Linked DNA regions of Callithrix jacchus. The protein of the gene in region 2 interacts with the protein of the main gene of each other region in a pairwise test. Links are inferred from orthologs where the notes say so. Each region holds a gene or a part of one and is shown on either strand. Other genes may lie near its edges.

The links.
Region 1: the proteins of HAX1 (region 2) and IL1A interact in binary tests that used the Homo sapiens proteins (3 or more experiments, as listed by UniProt). The link is inferred for Callithrix jacchus from reciprocal best matches to the Homo sapiens genes HAX1 and IL1A.
Region 3: the proteins of HAX1 (region 2) and SAV1 interact in binary tests that used the Homo sapiens proteins (3 or more experiments, as listed by UniProt). The link is inferred for Callithrix jacchus from reciprocal best matches to the Homo sapiens genes HAX1 and SAV1.
Region 4: the proteins of HAX1 (region 2) and HTT interact in binary tests that used the Homo sapiens proteins (3 or more experiments, as listed by UniProt). The link is inferred for Callithrix jacchus from reciprocal best matches to the Homo sapiens genes HAX1 and HTT.

What each region holds. Positions count from the first base shown.
Region 1 is NC_133515.1:21,801,534-21,805,908, reverse strand, and holds part of IL1A (interleukin-1 alpha), read right to left. Parts: intron 4,185-4,375; coding exon 3,962-4,184; intron 3,668-3,961; exon of another isoform or gene 3,584-3,667; intron 1-3,583. UniProt on the Homo sapiens protein: Cytokine constitutively present intracellularly in nearly all resting non-hematopoietic cells that plays an important role in inflammation and bridges the innate and adaptive immune systems.
Region 2 is NC_133519.1:14,693,138-14,698,290, reverse strand, and holds the start of HAX1 (HCLS1-associated protein X-1), read right to left. Parts: upstream 3,423-5,153; 5' UTR 3,340-3,422; coding exon 3,287-3,339; intron 2,746-3,286; coding exon 2,495-2,745; intron 2,344-2,494; coding exon 2,132-2,343; intron 522-2,131; coding exon 470-521; intron 319-469; coding exon 212-318; intron 82-211; coding exon 1-81. UniProt on the Homo sapiens protein: Recruits the Arp2/3 complex to the cell cortex and regulates reorganization of the cortical actin cytoskeleton via its interaction with KCNC3 and the Arp2/3 complex. Slows down the rate of inactivation of KCNC3 channels. Promotes GNA13-mediated cell migration.
Region 3 is NC_133509.1:85,225,515-85,229,889, forward strand, and holds part of SAV1 (protein salvador homolog 1), read right to left. Parts: intron 3,738-4,375; coding exon 3,294-3,737; intron 1-3,293. UniProt on the Homo sapiens protein: Regulator of STK3/MST2 and STK4/MST1 in the Hippo signaling pathway which plays a pivotal role in organ size control and tumor suppression by restricting proliferation and promoting apoptosis.
Region 4 is NC_133504.1:189,945,076-189,949,450, forward strand, and holds part of HTT (huntingtin), read right to left. Parts: intron 3,268-4,375; coding exon 3,129-3,267; intron 2,095-3,128; coding exon 1,972-2,094; intron 1-1,971.

The DNA.
Region 1 (4,375 bases), on a different chromosome or scaffold from region 2:
CACATGCCAGGACACACATAGGCTCAAAATAAAGGGATGGAGGAAGATTTATAAAGAAAATGGAGAGAAAAAAAGCAGGAGTTGCAATCCTGTTCTCTGATAAAATGGACTTTAAACCAACAAAGATCAGAAGAGACAAAAAAGGGCATTACATAATGGTAAAAGGATCAATGCATCAAGAAGAGCGAATGATCCTAAATATATAAACACCCAATACAGGAGCACTCAGGTTCATAAAGCAAGTTCTTAATGACTTACAAAGAGATTTAGACTCCCACACAATAACAGTGGGAGACTTTAACACTCCACTGTCAATATTAGACGGATCAACGAGACAGAAAATTAACAAGGATATCTAGGACTTGAACTCACATCTGGACCAAGCGGACCTAATAGACATCTACAGAAATCTCCACCCTAAATCCATAGGATATGCATTCTTCTCAGCACCACATCGCACCTACTCTAAAATTGACCACATAATTAGAAGTAAATCACTCCTCAGCAAATGCCAAAGAACGGAAATCATAACAAACAGTCTCTCAGACCACAGTGCAATCAAATTAGAACTCAGAATTAAGAAACTAACTCAGAACTGCACAACCTTCTCTTGGAAACTGAACAAGTGGATCCCAAATGTCAACTGGATAAACAATGAAATGAAGGCAGAAATAAAGATGATCTTTGAAACCAATGAGAACGAAGACACAACATACCAGGATCTCTGGGACACATTTAAAGCAGTGTCTAGAGGGAAATTTATAGCAATGAATGCCCACCAGAGAAGCAAGGAAAGATCTAAAATCGGCCCCCATTCATCAAAATTGAAAGAGCTAGAGGAAGAAGATTAAAAAACTCAAAAGCTAGCAGAAGACAAGAAATAACTATGATCAGAGCAGAACTGAAGGAGATAGAGACACAAAAAATCCTTCAAAAAATCAATAAATCCAGGAGCTGGTTTTTGGAATAGATCGACAAAATAGACAGACCACTATCAGGATTAATAAAAAAGAAAAGGGAGAGGAATCAGATGCAATAAAAAATGATAAAGGGGATATCACCACTGACTCCACAAATTACAATCAGAGATTACTACAAACAACTCTATGCACATAAACCAGTATACATGGAAGAAATGGATAAATTCCTGGACAGTTGCACCCTCCGAAGCCTAAACCAGGAAGAAGTTGAAACCTTCAAATGACCAATAACAAGGGCTGAAGTTGAGGCAGCAATTAATAGCCTACCAACCAAAAAAGTCCAGGTCCAGACAGGTTCACAGCAGCATTCTACCAGACGTACAAAGAGGAGCTGATACCATTCCTTCTGAAACTATTCCAAACAATCCAAAAAGGCAGAATCCTCCCGAAATCATTTTATGAGGCCAACATCATCCTGATACCAAAACCCAGCAGAGACTCAATAAGAAAAGAAAACTTCAGGCCAATATCCATGATGAACATAGATGCAAAAATCTTCAATAAAATACTGGCAAACCGATTGCAACAGCACATCAAAAAGCTTATCCATCATGATCAATTAGCCTTCATTCTGGGGACACAAGGCTGGTTCAACATACACAAGTCTATAAACATAATCCACCACATAAACAGAACCAAAGACAAAAACCACCTGATTATCTCAATAGATGAAGAGAAGGCCTTTGACAAAATTCAACTGCACTTTATGCTAAAAACCCTCAATAAACTCGGTATTGAAGGAACATATCTCAAAATAATAAAAGCTATTTATGACAAACCTACAGCTAATATCATACTGAATGGGCAAAAACTGGAAGCATTCCGTTTGAAATCCAGCACTAGACAAGGATGTCCTCTGTCACCACTCCTATTCAATATAGTATTTGGAAATTCTAGCCAGAGCAATCAGGCAAGAAAAAAAAATAAAGTGTATTCAATTAGGAAAGAAGGAAGTCAAATTATCTCTATTTGCAGATGACATGATTGTATATTTAGAAGACCCCATCATCTCAGCCCAAAATCTCCTTAAACTGATAAGCAACTTCAGCAAAGTCTCAGGATACAAAATCAATGTGCAGAAATCACAAGCATTCCTATACACCAATAACAGACTAACAGAGAGCCAAATCATGAGCAAACTCCCATTTACAATTACTACAAAGAGAATAAAATACTAGGAATACAACTAACAAAGGATGTAAAGGCCCTATTCAAGGAGAACTACAAACCACTGCTCAAGGAAATAAAAGAGGACACAAACAAATGGAGAAACATTCCATGCTCATGGTTAGGAAGAATCAATATCATGGAAATGGCCATGCTGCACAAAGTAATCTATAGATTCAATGCTATCCCCATCAAGCTACCAATGACCTTCTTCACAGATCTGGAAAAAAACACCTTAAACTTCATATGGAACCAAAAGAGAGCCCTCATAGCCAAGACAAACCTAAGCAAAATAAACAAAGTCAGAGGCATCACACCACCTGACTTCAGACCATACTACAAAACTACAGTAATCAAAACAGCATGGTACTGGTATGAAAACAGAGTTATAGACCAATGGAACAGAACAGAGGCCTTGGAGGCAATGCCACACATCTACAACTATCTGATCTTTGACAAACCTGACAAAAACAAGCAATGGGGAAAGGATACCCTGTTTAATAAATGGTGCTGGGAAAACTGGCTAGCAGTGTGCAGAAAGCAGAAACTGGACCCCTTCCTGACACCTGACACTAAAATTAACTCCAGATGGATTAAAGATTTAAAAATAAGACCTAACACCATAAAAACCCTAGAAGAAAACCAAGGCAAAACCATTCAGGACATAGGCATAGGCAAGGATTTCATGACTAAAACACAAAAAGCATTGGCAACAAAAGCCAAAATAGACAAATGAGACCTAATTAAACTCCAGAGCTTCTGTACAGCAAAAGAAACAATGATTAGAGTGAACCGGCAACCAACAGAATGGGAAACAATTTTTGCAATCTACCCATCTGACAAAGAGCTAATATCCAGAATCTACAAAGAACTAAAGCAGATTTACAAGAAAAAAACAAACAAACCAATCCAGAAGTGGGAGAAGGATATGAACGGACACTTTTTAAAAGAAGACATACATGAGGCCAACAAACATATGAAAAAATGCTCATCGTCACTGATTATTAGAGAAATGCAAATCAAAACCACATTGAGATACCACCTCACACCAGTTAGAATGGCGATCATTAAAAAATCTGGAGACAACAGATGCTGGAGAGGATGTGGAGAAATAGGAACACTTTTACACTGCTGGTGGGAGTGTAAATTAGTTCAACCATTGTGGAAGACAGTGTGGCGATTCATCAAGAACCTAGAAATAGAAATTCCATTTGACCCAGCAATCCCATTACTGGGTATATATCCAAAGGATCATAAATTGTTCTTTTATAAGGGCACATGCACACATATAATCATAGTGGCACTGTTTACAATAGCAAAGACCTGGAACTAACCCAAATGCCCATCAACAATAGACTGGACAAGGAAAATGTGGCACATACACACTGTGGAATATTATGCAGCCATAAGAAACGATGAGTTCGTCTCCTTTATAGGTACATGGATGAACCTGGAAACCATCATTCTCAGCAAACTGACACAAGAACAGAAAATCAAACACTGCATGTTCTCACTCACAGGTGGGTGTTGAATGGTGAGAACACCTGGACACAGGAAGGGGAGCATCACACACTGGGGTCTGTTGGTGGGGGCCAAGGGAGGGATGTGGAGGTGGGAGGTCGGGGAGGGATAACATGGGGAGAAATACCAGATGTAGGTGACGGGGGGATGGAGGCAGCAAACCACATTGCTGTGTGTGTACCTATGCAACAATCCTGCATGGTCTGCACATGTACCCCAGAACCTAAAGTACAATAAAATTAAAAATAAAAAAATCCTTGAAAACAAGGATATTATTGTGCTTGACCCCTTACCTTCTTCTATGTCATTGGCGATGCCCTCCAGGTCATCATCAGTGATGGAATGGTTTAAAGTCAACCGTCTCTTCTTCAGAACCTTCCCATTGGTTGACACTATCACCACACTCTCCTTGAAGGTAAGCTTGGATGTCTTAGAGGTTTCAGAGATACTCAGAGACACAGACTGATCCATGCATTCTTCATGGTGTGAGCCATAGTTTACATCATAGAAGGATTTCTATTATGAAGGAAAACAGAAACTGAGAGGCTGTCCATGATCAGGAAAAGAAAGTCTGTTCAACAGGTGCTATATTCAACAGATGTAGCGAGAAGGATCTCCATTCTGGACTTAGGTAACTCGTGTTTCATTGGGCTTCCCTCCTTCTCTCCTCCCTCTCTCCCTTCTGTCTCAGCTTTCTTCCTCCTTTT
Region 2 (5,153 bases):
ACTGCTATCTGCTTCATGTCGGGTTACTGTGGTCTCTGTCCGGCCCTCACTGTCTACCACCGTCCTGCGCTCCTCCACTACCTACAAGAAGAAATCCCCGCCATAATCTTAACATCACTAAAGGTTATGCTCAGCAGTTTCTTTAAAGATCCTTGTATCAGGGCATTCATTCCCTGGCCACAGTTTACTTTACCTCTTTCTTTCAACTCACCCCATCTGGCTTAGTGATCTTGGTCACAGAGATGCTCTTGAAATAGGATTTGGGCTGGGGCTGTAGAACCGAGCCAAGACCCTCCTGGGCAACCTGGGCATCAAGATCTGGAAGAGCAGAGAAAAGAACCAGGAGAGAAAGATTCCAAGGGAAAAAAGAGACAAGTGTACAGGAAGAAACTTCAGGTCTGAGGGAGAACAGACAGAATTTCAGAAGAGTAACAAAAGACTGGTAAACTTCCCCTTCCTCCAGACTTACCATTGTCCTCTCTGGTTCTAGGATGAGGGTCCACAGGCCATATGTCATCAAACTGCAGAAGAAACCATAGTAAGTGAAAAGACACCTTCCAATCTGAAACTTGAAAGGTTATAGACCCCAAACTACTCCCAAACTCCAAAACCCCCTTCCAGAGGACAGAGAATTCCATTCAGAATAGCTCTATTTACCCACTGTTTCCTCCTTCCTGGCTGTTTTATATATCCTTCTACCAGAAAAATTTCCTCAACTAATATATTCCTATCCTCTGTGCACAATCCTGCCTTATCCAAGAATTATGTAGACCAGTGGTATTTTTGTTTTGTTTTTTTAAGAAACAGAACACCCATTTCCCTCTAAAAAAAAACCCCATGAGCTTAATATAGAAAACATATAAACACACTAAATGGGGGGCTAGGATTCCAACCCAAAGCTATCAGATTCAAACAAGAAATGCAATCTTTGGCCAGGCACAATGGCTCATGCTTCTAATCCCAGCACTTTGGAAGGTTGAGGCAGGTGGATCGCCTGAGGTCAGGAGCTCGAAAGTAGCCTGGCCAACATGATGAAACCTCATCTCTACCAGAAATACAAAAATTAGCTGGGTGTTTGGGGGGTGACTATAATCCCAGCTCCTCAGGGGGATGAGGTAGGAGAATCACTTGATCCTGGGAATCAGAGGTTGCAGTAAGCTGAGAACATGCAACTGCCCTCCAGCCTCGGTGAAAGAGCAAGATTCGTTCTCAAAAAAAAAAAAAAAGTCCAATATTTGCACCCTTTTTGCACCTTTTTTCCCCTTCCACCTCCTGGGTTCAAGCGATTCTCCTGCCTCAGCCCAGATAGCTGGGATTACAGGCATGTACCACCATGCCTGGCTAATTTTTTTGTAGTTTAAGTAGAGAAGGGGTTTCACCATGTTGATCAGGCTGGTCTTGAACTCCTAACCTTGTGATCTGCCCACCTCCCAAAGTGGGCTGGGATTACAGGCGTGAGCCATTGTACCTGGCCTTTTTTTTTTTTTTTTTTTTTGAGACAGTCTTACTCTATCACCCAGGCTGGAGAGCAGTGGCATGATCTCAGCTCACTGAAATGTCCTTGTCCTGGGTTCAAGCAATTATCCTGCCTCAGCCTCCCAAGTAGCTGGGACTACAGGGGCACACCACCACATCCAGCTAATTTTTTATTTTTATTAGAGATGGGGTTTCACCATGTTAGCCAGGCTGGTGTCAAATGCCTGACCTCAGGTGATCCTCCTGTCTCTGGGATTACAGGCGTGAGCCACTACACCTGGCCTTTTATTTATTTATTTTTTTTGAGATGAAGTCTTGCTCTTGTCGCCTAGGCTGGAGTGCAATGGTGTGATCTCAGCTCACTGCAACCTCTGCCTCCTGGGTTCAAGCCCCTCTCCTGCCTTGGCCTCCTGAGTAGCTGGGAAAACAGGTGCCTGCCACCACAACCTACTAATTTTTTGTATTTTTGGCAGAGATGGTATTTCACCATGTTGACCAGGCTGGTCTCTAACTCTTCACTTCAGGTGATCCGCCTGTCTCAGCCTCCTAAAGTGCTGGGATTACAGGCGTTAAGCTACCGCACCTGGCCAATCTTTGCACTTTTAATTAGTAGTCTCTCACAAGCTCTCACTTCAGGCCCAGATGGGATACTCACCCTATGAAATGGTCTCTGGAAGCCCCAGTATGGTGTTGGTTTGGGGGATTCACTTCTTGCATCACTCTCCAAGACCCCCCCAAAGATCCTGGGCTGGTGACTATCTGGATACTTAAGCATTGAGTCCCGAAGTGTTTGTCCCTCCCGCAGTCTCTCACCAGGTGTCTCTGACTCAGGACCTGGAAGTTCTGCAGAAAGGTGGCAGGTGTTTGCTGGGGTGGGAAAGAACTTGGGCTGTATACATCTCCCTGAAATTATCCATCTTCTCACACGTCCCATCCCCCAGCTACTCCCTGCAGGCTCTTTATTTCACCCACCAACCCACTAGAAACCACAGGTTGTGCCTCAGGGAAAGCCACACACCAGGAAGATGAGAAGGCAAGGTCCAGGCCCCCATATGGCTGAAGATGCTATTGAAATCTCGTACTAGGTCATCAAAGCCGAAGTTATCATGTAAACGTATCCCTCCTCCTGGGCTGAAGCTGAAGCCAAATTCCTCAGGGGGCTGAGGACTATCGAACCTGGGGTTCCCACGGCCCCATGCGCCTCCTTCTTCCTCTTCCTCCTCATCATCTTCATCTCGAGTCATCCCTCCAAAAAAGGGATCTCTGTGGCTGAGAGTGGAGGCAGATTGGCCACCAAGATTTCAGCACGACTTAAGCCATAAAATCAACTCATGGGTGGCAAAGTGGGACAAGAGCAAGCGATTTGGGAAGCTGGGGAGAGGGTCGGAGGGCTGGCTGCCACATCAAAATATTAATACAATGTCCGACAGTTCTGGTTTTGTTTTTTATCAAAGTCAGACCTCAGCTCGCAACTCCCTTCAAACACCTTTCCCCAGTTTTCCTTAAGTGTGCCCCAGCCCCTCCCCTCTCTCCCAAGGTCCTGGTCACAAGCCCGCTGTCCTCTTCCCCAGACCCCAATTGTCTATCCCGCCCGGGTCCTTGTTGCATCACCCCAGGTTGGAGAAAGGCTTAGTTTGCTGTTTCTCCTCTTAACGACCACCCTGGTTACTGTGGCGGGGCGAGTGCTCAATGTTACGACTTCACAGGGGTTGAAGGAGTAGGCCAGAGGATGTTTTCCCAAAAATAAGACGTAAGGGGTCAAACTCTTCTCAGACGACCTCACCCTTGTCCGACCCGGACCTACTCTCACCTCCGAGGTCCAGGAAAGCCGAAAAAGCCCCGGAAGAGATCAAAGAGGCTCATTCCCGTATTGGCACTCGAACATTTAAACCCCTCCACTGGCCGATTCGCAGAAGAGTGAAACCTGCGCAGCCCCGTAGGAAAACGAGCGAGACGTCAGCCCACGCTGCCGGAAAGCAAGCCCGCGCGCGATCCGAATACTGTCGTAAAAGACTGTAAGTCGGACGTGAAAGGGAGACAGAGCGGAAGGTCTTCCTCAAATTTCAGAGGCTTTATCTTTACCCCACCTTTTAGAGGCCAGTTTCCGTGACAGGAGTGGGCGTGACGGACGTTCAGTTTACCTATGACCGCCTTCCTCTTAAATCTGTTCTCCTTTCTGCAGACCAACTCGGTCCGGAAAGCAATTTCGAGGGTTTGACTCTGGAAGGCACCCGGATAAAGCCGCCAGAGGGCCTCCCAGCCGCACAAATGGGCCGGCTTGAGGGCATCCCTCAAACCTCCCCACCCCCGGTGCTGGCCAGCCTCACCGCCGAAACCACCTCGCCCCTTACTCCGAAGCTTTTGACTGACCTGGGTGATGTCTGCTGTTAGAGGGATGAACAAAAAAATGTTTCTCCAAGCTCCTTTTAGTATTGAATTCCCCAGAGAAGAGATCAAGACATAAGTGACACATAGACTTCATCTCTCTAGCTACTAGGGAGTTTGTTATAACCATACAGGATTTTTTTGGGGTGGGGAGACGGAGTCTCTGTCACCCGGGCTGGAGTGCAGTGGCGCAATCTCGGCTCACTGCAACCTCCGCCTCCCGGGTTCAAACGATTCTGCTGCTTCAGCCTCCCGAGTAGCCGAGACTACAGGCGCGTGCCACCACATCCGGCTAATTTTTTTGTATTTTTAGTAGAGACGGGTTTCAGAGCCAGGATGGTCTCGATCTCCTGACCTCGTGATTCTTCCTTCTCGACCTCCCCAAGTGTTGGAATTACAGGCGCGAGTCACCGCGACTGGCCAGGATTTTTTTTTCTAAGCAGGCTGTCTGCAACCAACCAAAGGATTTTTAAGAAAGCGAGTGAAAGGAAGCTAGTTGAATCCTGAGAAGGGACAAATTGAGGACTATAAAGAAGTGTCCCTTTTTTTTTTTTTTTTTTGAGATAAGAGTTTCCTAGGCTAGAGTGCAGTGGCGCCATCTCGGCTTACTGCAATGTCTCCCTCCCGGGTTCAAGTGATTCTCCTGCCTCAGTCCCCCGAGTAGCTGGGATTAGAGGCCCCAGCCACCAAGCCCTACCTTGGTTATTTTTTATAGAGACAGGGTTTCACCATATCGAACTCCTGACCTCAGGTGATCCACCCACCTCGGCATCCCAAAGTGCATTAGCCACTGTGCCTGGCCTCATTTTTTTTTTTTTCAGTATTTTGTTTACTGTTGTATCATTTATTTTTCAAAGCCTCTCCACCTGTCTCCCTGTACCCCATCTCCAGGCCAGACCTTTCTCTAGACTCTTTAAGGATTGGATATAGCTATCTCACAGAAAAGCACCCAAGAAGCAACTACTACAGTAGTCCATTCCTAGGGGGAATGGGCCCCAAGGTTTAGTTTATTTTGATAGTTTTTGGGGTACAGGTGGTGTTTGGTTACATGGATGAGTTCTTTAGTGGTGATTTCTGAGATTTTAGTGCACCCATCACCCAAGCAATGTACTGTACCCAATGGGTAGTCTTTTTTTTTTTTTTTTTTTTTTTGAGACGGAGTTTCACTGTTGTTGCCCAGACTGGAGTGCAATGGTGCAATCTCGGCTCACCGCAACCTCCACCTCCCGGGTTCAAGCGAGTCTCCTGCCTCAGCCTCCCAAATAGCTGGGATTATAGGCATGCGCCACCAT
Region 3 (4,375 bases), on a different chromosome or scaffold from region 2:
GGTCTATATGCCTCTTTCTATATCAATGCCATGCTATTTTGGTTACAACAGCCTTTTAAGACAGGTAGTGTGATGCTTCTAGCTTTTTCTGTTTGCTCAAGATTACTTTGGCTATTTGGGCTCCTTGTTGGTTCTGTAGAAATTTTAGGATTGTTTTATTTCTGTGAAAAATGACTGGTATTTTAGGCTGGGCACGGTGGCTCACGCCTGTAATCCCAACACTTTGGGAAGCCGAAGTGGGTGGATCACAAGGTCAGGAGTTCAAGATCAGCCTGGTCAAGATGGTGAAACCCTGTCTCTACTAAAAATACAAAAATTAGCCAAGTACGGTAGCAGGTGCCTATAATCCCAGCTACTCAGGAGGCTGAGGCAGGAGAACTGCTTGAACCCTGGAGGCAGAGGTTGCAGTGAGCCGAGATTGCACCACTGCACTCTAGCCTGGGCAACAAAGCAATACTCTGTCTTAAAAAAAAAAAGAAAAGAAAAGAAAAAAATGACTGTTATTTTAATAGGAATTGTACAGAATATGTAGATTACTTTGGGCAATATTGTCATTTTAATGATGTTAATTCTTCTGATCCACAAGCATGGGATGTCTTTCCACTTGTTTTTGTGCTTTTCAATTTCTTTCATCAGTGATCTGAAATCTAAATTTTTTTAAATGACATACTTGAATTTGAAAACTTATAATTAACTTTTACTTTATTGGAAAGTTGTTTTAAAGTCTGTTTTTAAACTTTTAAAAATTATGTCAAATTGCTCCTAAGAAAGGATCAGTAGAGATTTAGTTCTTATAGTATTTCCTCGACTATATTTTGCAAATTCAATTTTGAAAACAAAAGTTTAACTTATTATTTATTCTTCATATTTACATACTTATAACTCAGGTAGAAAAGTATTACAAGCTTTCAGTGATGTCTGCAATATAGATGGGAAAGGTGAATGCAAAGAGTAACACATATTCTATAGCAACAGTAAACATGGCTATTTCTGTTGCCCCTCAGCTACCAAAAACTCTCTTAAGTCTCCAGATTTAAAACCTCTCGGTTCATTCACTCATTCAGCCATTTATTTTTGTAAGCATCTGTTAGGCAGTCATGTGGCTGTGCTAATCCTATTTGACTCTTCTTTCTCCTTTGTCCTTCAAACCCCATTAGTGGTCAAGTCCCATTAATTTGGGCATGACCCACTTTTTCCCCTTTCCAAATTTTTGAAGTACAGGTCAAGCCTTCATTAACCACTGAATATGCACCAAATGGAAGATTATACAGTCATTAAAACTACTCATAAAAAGTATACAACATGAAGAAAATGATTCAAGTAAAAAGCAAGAACAGAAAACTATACAAAATATTATATAATCACATCAATATAAAAAAAGAATTTGGCATGAAAAAAATGAAGCAAATAATATACTGAGATCTCTAGCAGATGGGTACTTTGCCTTTACTTTGCTGCAGATTTGCTGCCTTTACTTTGCTGCAGATTTCCTATAATAAGCAGTTATTATTCTAGAAGAAAATATAAACGAGCTTTATTTTTTAAAACTATTTTAGTTAGATAACAAATTATTCCTGAGGTTCAGAAGTGCATATCAGAAACAACCAAAATAAACACTCAAGCATGCAGTTGTCTTAATCCTTTAACCTAATTCTTTAAAAACGAAAAGGTGCTCACCCATGGCTCTTACTGCACTTCTACATGCCCAGAAAACCTCTGCTCTTAATGTTCCAGTGAGACTCTGATGTCAGCTTTCATAAATAAGTTGTTCTTACCAACTACTTCACGTTATTTAAAACTTCAGTGATTTGCTTTCTCCTAAACTCTAATTCTCATTTTTCCTTCAAAAACGTCCTAGATTTCCCTTTCCTATTACCACTGGTACCCACTGGTACCTGCAATCCTCTTTTCTCTAGGAATCTACCCTTAATTCTAGTACAAAAGTAATCTTTAAACACTGCTTTCATAGAATCACTTGTCTTTTTGAAATGTGCAATAACTTCCACTTGACTCAAATCTATAAGCCTATTGTTGAACCACAAATCTCCATTCCATGTTACATCTTATTTCTTCAAACCAGGCAGAGCTACACTGTTCGTTAGATTTAAACCAGGCCTACTCTGTTTTCATTGTGTTATTCCCAATTTTCCACATAAAATGTCCTTCTTCTGGCCCCTGTTCATCTAAAGGCCAAGCTTGAGGCCCAGTCCAAGTCCAACCTCTTCTATGAATCATCTCTTTAAGTATTTCAGTCTACACTAATATCTCTCTGACTCCCTGTTGCACTTACAGTTAGTATCACAAAGTATAACAATTGCTTTGTGACCATTGTGTATAAACTGGTTTTGTTTCCCCAAAGAAGGTACCAGACAAATAAGGTACCAGAAAGCAGAGACCAACAGGCCCAAGGAAAACGCTAGACACGTAAACAATTAATACTAAATGAATAAATTTTTCTACAGTCAAAATACTAATGCTCCAAAACATTTTTAAAGTCACCTTATTTGAACTTATGTGGGCCAAAAAGTAAATCTCTCTCATATTTTATTTTTATCCTGCCAAAATTTAAAGTCTATTACTTGGTAGAAAAAAATAATCAGACAAGAAAGTTTTATTTTCTTCTTGCTTCATTTTATCTAGTGAAACCAGGACTTTAGGAATAAAGTAGAACTGTACATTTCTCCAATCTCTTCTGCTTCTTTCAGAAGTATCTCCAAGTCAGAAGATATAAAAAGTACCTTACTTTCCTTAATTATATGGTAATATTTTTTGCCTGTTACAAAAAGAATAAAAAGACATGCTCAACACACAACCGTATGGCAGTAAGTCTTTCTGATCAACTCAGGAAAGAATTCCTGAACTACTAAATCAGTTTTGTTCAAAGAAAAACTGCAGTAATGTACTTGCTCACGGTATCACTGAGCATGCCCAATTCTTCCTATTCTTTCCTTTCCCAAGTTTAAGTCCAGTGGCTCTGAAGATGTACCCTTCCCATTATTCTACCAAATCTGAACATAAATTCAACCCAACTGGAGACATTAAATTCTCTAGGTTTACAAGAGTCACAGCATTAAGAGACTAGACAGCCTTGAGATAAGAACCAGGTTTATACAACACAAGTTAATTCATTCAGTATAGATTACCAACTATTTGCACACAGGCTTAAGCAAGACTAGCAAAGTAGAAAAGTATTTTGCTAGGAGTATTAGTTTGTGCCCCAAGAAAATCTAGAAAAGAACATCTTTTCACTTGACATGTCAATAAACTACTATAGTATTTATATGTTAAGCTACCTGAAGCATGCCTCCCCTGATTCTGAGGCATTCTTTGGAAGAGATCATGGTTGTATTCATAATATCTGAATTCTTCATGTGTACGATCTCCAAGTGGCCGCTTTCTCTGACCATCAAAAAAATTGTCTGAATAATAGTATCGGGAACCAGAGTCTCCATTTTCAACAGCAAAATTAACTTCCGTTACAAATGACTGAGAAGAGCCATACTCTCTAGGGACATCTGCTAGACTTCTGGCAAGATAAGAAGGTGCAGATAATCTGTTGCTTTCTCTTCTCATTATTTCATGAGGTGTTCTTTGAATTGGAGTTCTAAGGAAACTCTGGTTTCTTGAAACTACCCCATCTCCAGAAGCTGAAAAGGCATTAGGGCTTGAATCTGGAAGACAGATATCAGTTCGTCTGGGAATTGTTGGACCATGCCGGATGAATGAAGGCATAAGATCTATAATGAAACAAAGGATAAAATTAGCCTTTTAATAAGTAACAAAAGCAGTTTTCAAAAGTTGTTCATTTGTGTCTACAACCCCAAAATCAAAATGTCAGTAAACTTAAGAAAACACAATTTTGGGCCGGGCACGGTGGCTCACACCTGTAACCCCAGCACTTTGGGAGACCAAGGCGGGTGGATCACAAGATCAGGAGATGGAGACCATCCCGGCCAATATCGTGAAAACCCGTCTCTACTAAAAATACATAAAATATAGCTGGGTGTGGTGGCGCAGGCCTGTAGTCCCAGCTACTCAGGAGGCTACGGCAGGAGAACTGCTTGAACCCAGGAGGTGGAAATTGCAGTAAACCGAGATTGCGCCACTCCACTACAGCCTAGGCGACAGCGCAAGGCTCCGTTTCAAAACAAAACAAAACAAAACAAAATAACAACAAGGAAACACAATTTTGGCCAGGTGTGATAGGTCACGCCTGTAATCCCAGAGCTTTGGGAGGCGGAGGCAGGCGGATTACGAGATCAAGAGATCCCAGACCATCCTGGCCAACATAGTGAAATCCCGTCTCTACTAAAAAATACAAAAATTAGCTGGGCGTGGTGGCACGGGCCTGTAGTCTCAGCTACTCAGGAGGCTG
Region 4 (4,375 bases), on a different chromosome or scaffold from region 2:
AATGCTCTTGGATTTGCTTGAAATAAAAATTTTGGTATGACAATTTTAATTCATAAAACAGAAAATCTAAATAAAAGCAAAAGTGTCATCTAAGACATCAGTGATACACCAGTAATTCCTGAAGCTTGAGAAAGTTGTTCAAATGTAGCTGAAATAAGTAAAAGCAGCCATGTGAATGCCACAATTTTGGTTGGAAAAATGGTATTTCCTACGACAATCTGTATTATGTTTTCCCAACTTTTTGTTTAGCCATTTCAGGATTGGGGGCCAGTTTTTCAGGTAAAACATCAATCTTAAGTTTAATACTCAGAGAAGCATAATTAATGCCAAAAGCTGAAGCTTTCTTCTACAGACAGAACTTCTATAGCTGTTCAAGTCCAAAGAGCAAACCTGAAAAACCTAGTAAGCCAATCACTAAGCAAACTCATCACTCATAAGTCAGCTTTCACTGCATGAATCTTAAACGATTTTAGCAAACCAATTTTGGGCGAGTTCTCCTGTTTTCAGTATAGCTCTTCAATGCGTCAGAACACCCTGTTGTGCTGCGTTCCCTGAAAGGTCTTTTCATGAACACCTGCAGCCACCCCCAGCTCTACATGCCTTTGCCCTCCCAGGTGCCCACTTCCCTCCCATTTGCTGCTTATCGACGCAGGGCTAACACACCAGGAAGTTTCTCCCGTCCCAGCAGGTCCGAGAGGAAACCCTGCTCGGGCCACAGCTGCACCACACGCAAGAGGCAGGCCCCTGCTGCTCACAGGACCTGTCCATGGGCTTGGAGTACAGGGACACCAAGGCCTCCTGGGCTGGCTCTGCACAGGGTGCCCTCTGACATCTGGGATTGGGAGGTGAAGAACCTCACTACATCTAACAGAGGTATGGGTAGAGGAAATCTCACTGCATCCAAGAGTCTCCTTTAACTTCCAGAATAAACATGCTATTGAAGGCATGCATGATGTTGTGTCAAAGTCTATGGCAAATATGCAACCTTGACTTCCATTCTGTGTTGGCCAATGAGTGTAGGTGATAAAATCCCGTGTTTGTTCCTCTGGTGGAGGCCAAATAGTTCTCATCCTAAACCATACACCCAGCCTTGGGGCCAGCTGAATTTCAAAACAGTACCTCCTCTTGAGAGAGGGTTCCCATCAACTTGTTTCAAATTCCACAGTTGCCTGCTTCCAATTGCCATCCAGTTTCTACCCTGCTCCCCTGCCGCTCATATTCCCCACCACAGATGCCAATCGGAGTGCCCAGGGCCACACTTCATTCCCTCATATTCTCGACCTCAGACAACAATCCAAAACCCTTCCTCACTGCCATGAGAACAAAGAAGCAAACTGACTATAATACAAGATCACCTCCTTTTTTTTTTTTTCTGAGACGGAGTTTCGCTTTTGTTGCCCAGGCTGGAGTGCAGTGGCACAATCTCGGCTCACCGCAACCTCTGCCTCCTGGGTTCAAGCAATTCTCCTGCCTCAGCCTCCCGAGTAGCTGGGATTACAGGCATGCACCACCATGCCCAGCTAATTTTTGTATTTTTAGTAGAGATGGAGTTTCTCCATGTTGGTCAGGCTGGTTTCGAACTCCTGACCTCAGGTGATCCGCCCGCCTTGGACTCCCAAAGTGCTGAGATTACAGGCATAAGCCACCACACCTGGCCACCATCTACATTTTCTTTAAATGCATGAAAGGTTGAGTGAAATCAACTTGCCTTCTTGGATTCTAACATGGCTGAAATAATGTGCTTTCCTATCTGGATCAGCATATCCCCCACGTCCCAGCCCCATCTGAAATCGAGTCCTCCCCACTTCCCAGCCCCATTCAGACAGGAGTCTCCCCAGCCTCCTGTCCATAGCCAGAGTGGAGTCCCCAGCAGGTGTTGTCAACAAGTGGGTCATGATGATGAGACAAATCCCACTTGGAAGTCACAAGTAAAAGTTGAGGATTCCTTGCCTCCGCTGCTCCCCCCCGTACCGAGTTCATCATGAAGGCACTCATATCTTCAGCAGGAATCCGATTCACCAACTCTGCACCTTCCAGCAGTGCAGAGTCTGACCTGGTCCAACACTGGGATTTGACAAGATGGATGTACCAGTCCTGAGAAGAAAAAATGGATACAGGGAACATGATGGGCGGCATTCAAGGGGTCTTCACATTCCTGGAGCTACGGGCCTAGGCCAGTGCTTGGGAACACTGCACTGGGCTAACCAAGAGGGACAACAGCCAGCATGCTGTGGCCCTATGGGTCCCCACACCACAGGTGTGGGGAGCCATACCACCTTTGGACTTCCGTTACCTGCCTGAGCACCCTTGCAGTCTCCCTGTCACCTCGTGAACTTCCAACAGTCCTTCCAAATACAGCTTTATGTGGGGAGCCATACCACCTTTGGACTTCCGTTACCCACACCACCTTTGGACTTCCGTTACCTGCCTGAGCACCCTTGCAGTCTCCCTGTCACCTCGTGAACTTCCAACAGTCCTTCCAAATACAGCTAAAGCACTAAGGGTTAGCAGCCCCTTTACATCCTCCCTGGGCTTTGCTTTGCTCGTCTCTCCCCAGCAACCAGGGCAGGGCAGGTGCAACAAAGCCTAAGAAGGCAGGACTGAACATTCGCTTTCCTATACTTGGGCTGCGGGTTTTTGAAATCTAAATTCACATTCATAAGCTGAACTCTCTCCAGGAAAGTAGAGTACCAAGGCTCTACCAAGGCTCCAGGCAGTCCCTAAGTAACCCTGAGTGTGAGCAGTGGAGGTGCTGACAACATGCCAGAATGGCTGGCAGTGGTGGTGCAACTGACAGGAGGCCAGAAGGCGTAAGGAAATGGAGGCAGGCTAAACGCACTGACAGGTGCTTGAAGGCCTGTGCAGTCAGAATCCTGCAGGCCCTGGCCAACCTTCCCTTGATTCACCCACTAACTACTGGGCCCCATACTCCTAACATATGGGTCCCACATCCTAGGACCTTAGTGGTGCCCCACATCTCTAACCAAAGCTGGCTCGGGCCGAGCCCCAGACTCCTTGGGTTCACTGTACCTCCTCTGCACACTCTCTATCTGCTAGAGGTGACAGTGGCACTCAGCACCACCCTGCATGTGCCCTGTACCTCCCATGCAGACAGGCTGGACACTTACTTTGTCTGGACTCACTGTTTCCAGTGACACGTGCCCATCCCCGTCCAGCGGGTGGGAAGAGACTGGAGGAGAGGGACTGAGTGAGTCTTGCAGGGTGGAGAGACGAAACCTGTCCAGCAGGGAATAGAGCCTTTGGTGTCTAAAATACAAACAAAAATGAAGTTACAACACAATTTTTTTTTTTTTAGTCTTAGTCTAAACTCCGCAAACTAGGAGTCTAGAAATATACACTAAAAGGACTCACGCTTAGTGGCTTCTTAAAGGAAAACGCAACTTGTTTAAAACTTTTTCTTTACAGCTGTTTTCTCACCAACACTCAAACAGATCATGATACAAATGCAGGCCCTAGTTGACTTTCAAGTCACAGTTTGTATTCTATTATTATTTCCCAGAAATTTCACTTCTGGAATATACTCAAAACATTGCAACAGGCAATACGTGGTATAAAGGCATTCTTAATAAATGTAAAACAGATCATCTATCCTAAAACTCAAGTGTACAAACTCCACCACAAATATCCCGGTGAAACAACTGATACGAATTTATGGTCATTTCAAGATAAAATCACCTCATCTGGTGCAAGATATTTATAATCTTTTAATCTTCCTCATCTGGACCGAAGACTAAGTCTGAGGTTAAGAAGTAATAGTTTATCTCCCACCATCTGCTAGGAGAGTGACAACTTCAAAATGCAAATTGTAAAATAGCTTGGCCCTACAGACTGAAATATCATCCCAAACTGACTGTCCGCCAAACTGTGCCCAATCCCATTTACAAATACCATCAAGGTACTCTTAAGACTGAAATCAAAGCATAATTATCTGTGTGTGTGCATGTGCATGTGCATGTGTGTGTTTTGGCAGTTTTAGCTCAAAGTATACAGCATAGTAATTATATCCTCCTTCTCTGCTGTCTCTCTCCCTCTCACAAACACAATCTTCCCCAACCCAGAGAAGAAAAAGGATAAAAGTTTAACTGGTTTTGCAGTCACGGAAACACTCACACAGGAGATGTAAGGATCTCTGATAAAGGCTTCTCAGAGACTCTGCAAATGTAACTGATTAAATGCTGCAAGGAGATAAAATGGCCACAGGATGCAGATACAACTCCTGCATGCCAAGGATTCAGTAGTGTCTTTCAGATTTGTCAGCTCTTATTTAGCAATTAGACGACACGCTTTGATTTTGCTGAGATAAAGCTGATAACCTATTTCCAACTCATCACGGGACAGTGAACACAGGCATTAT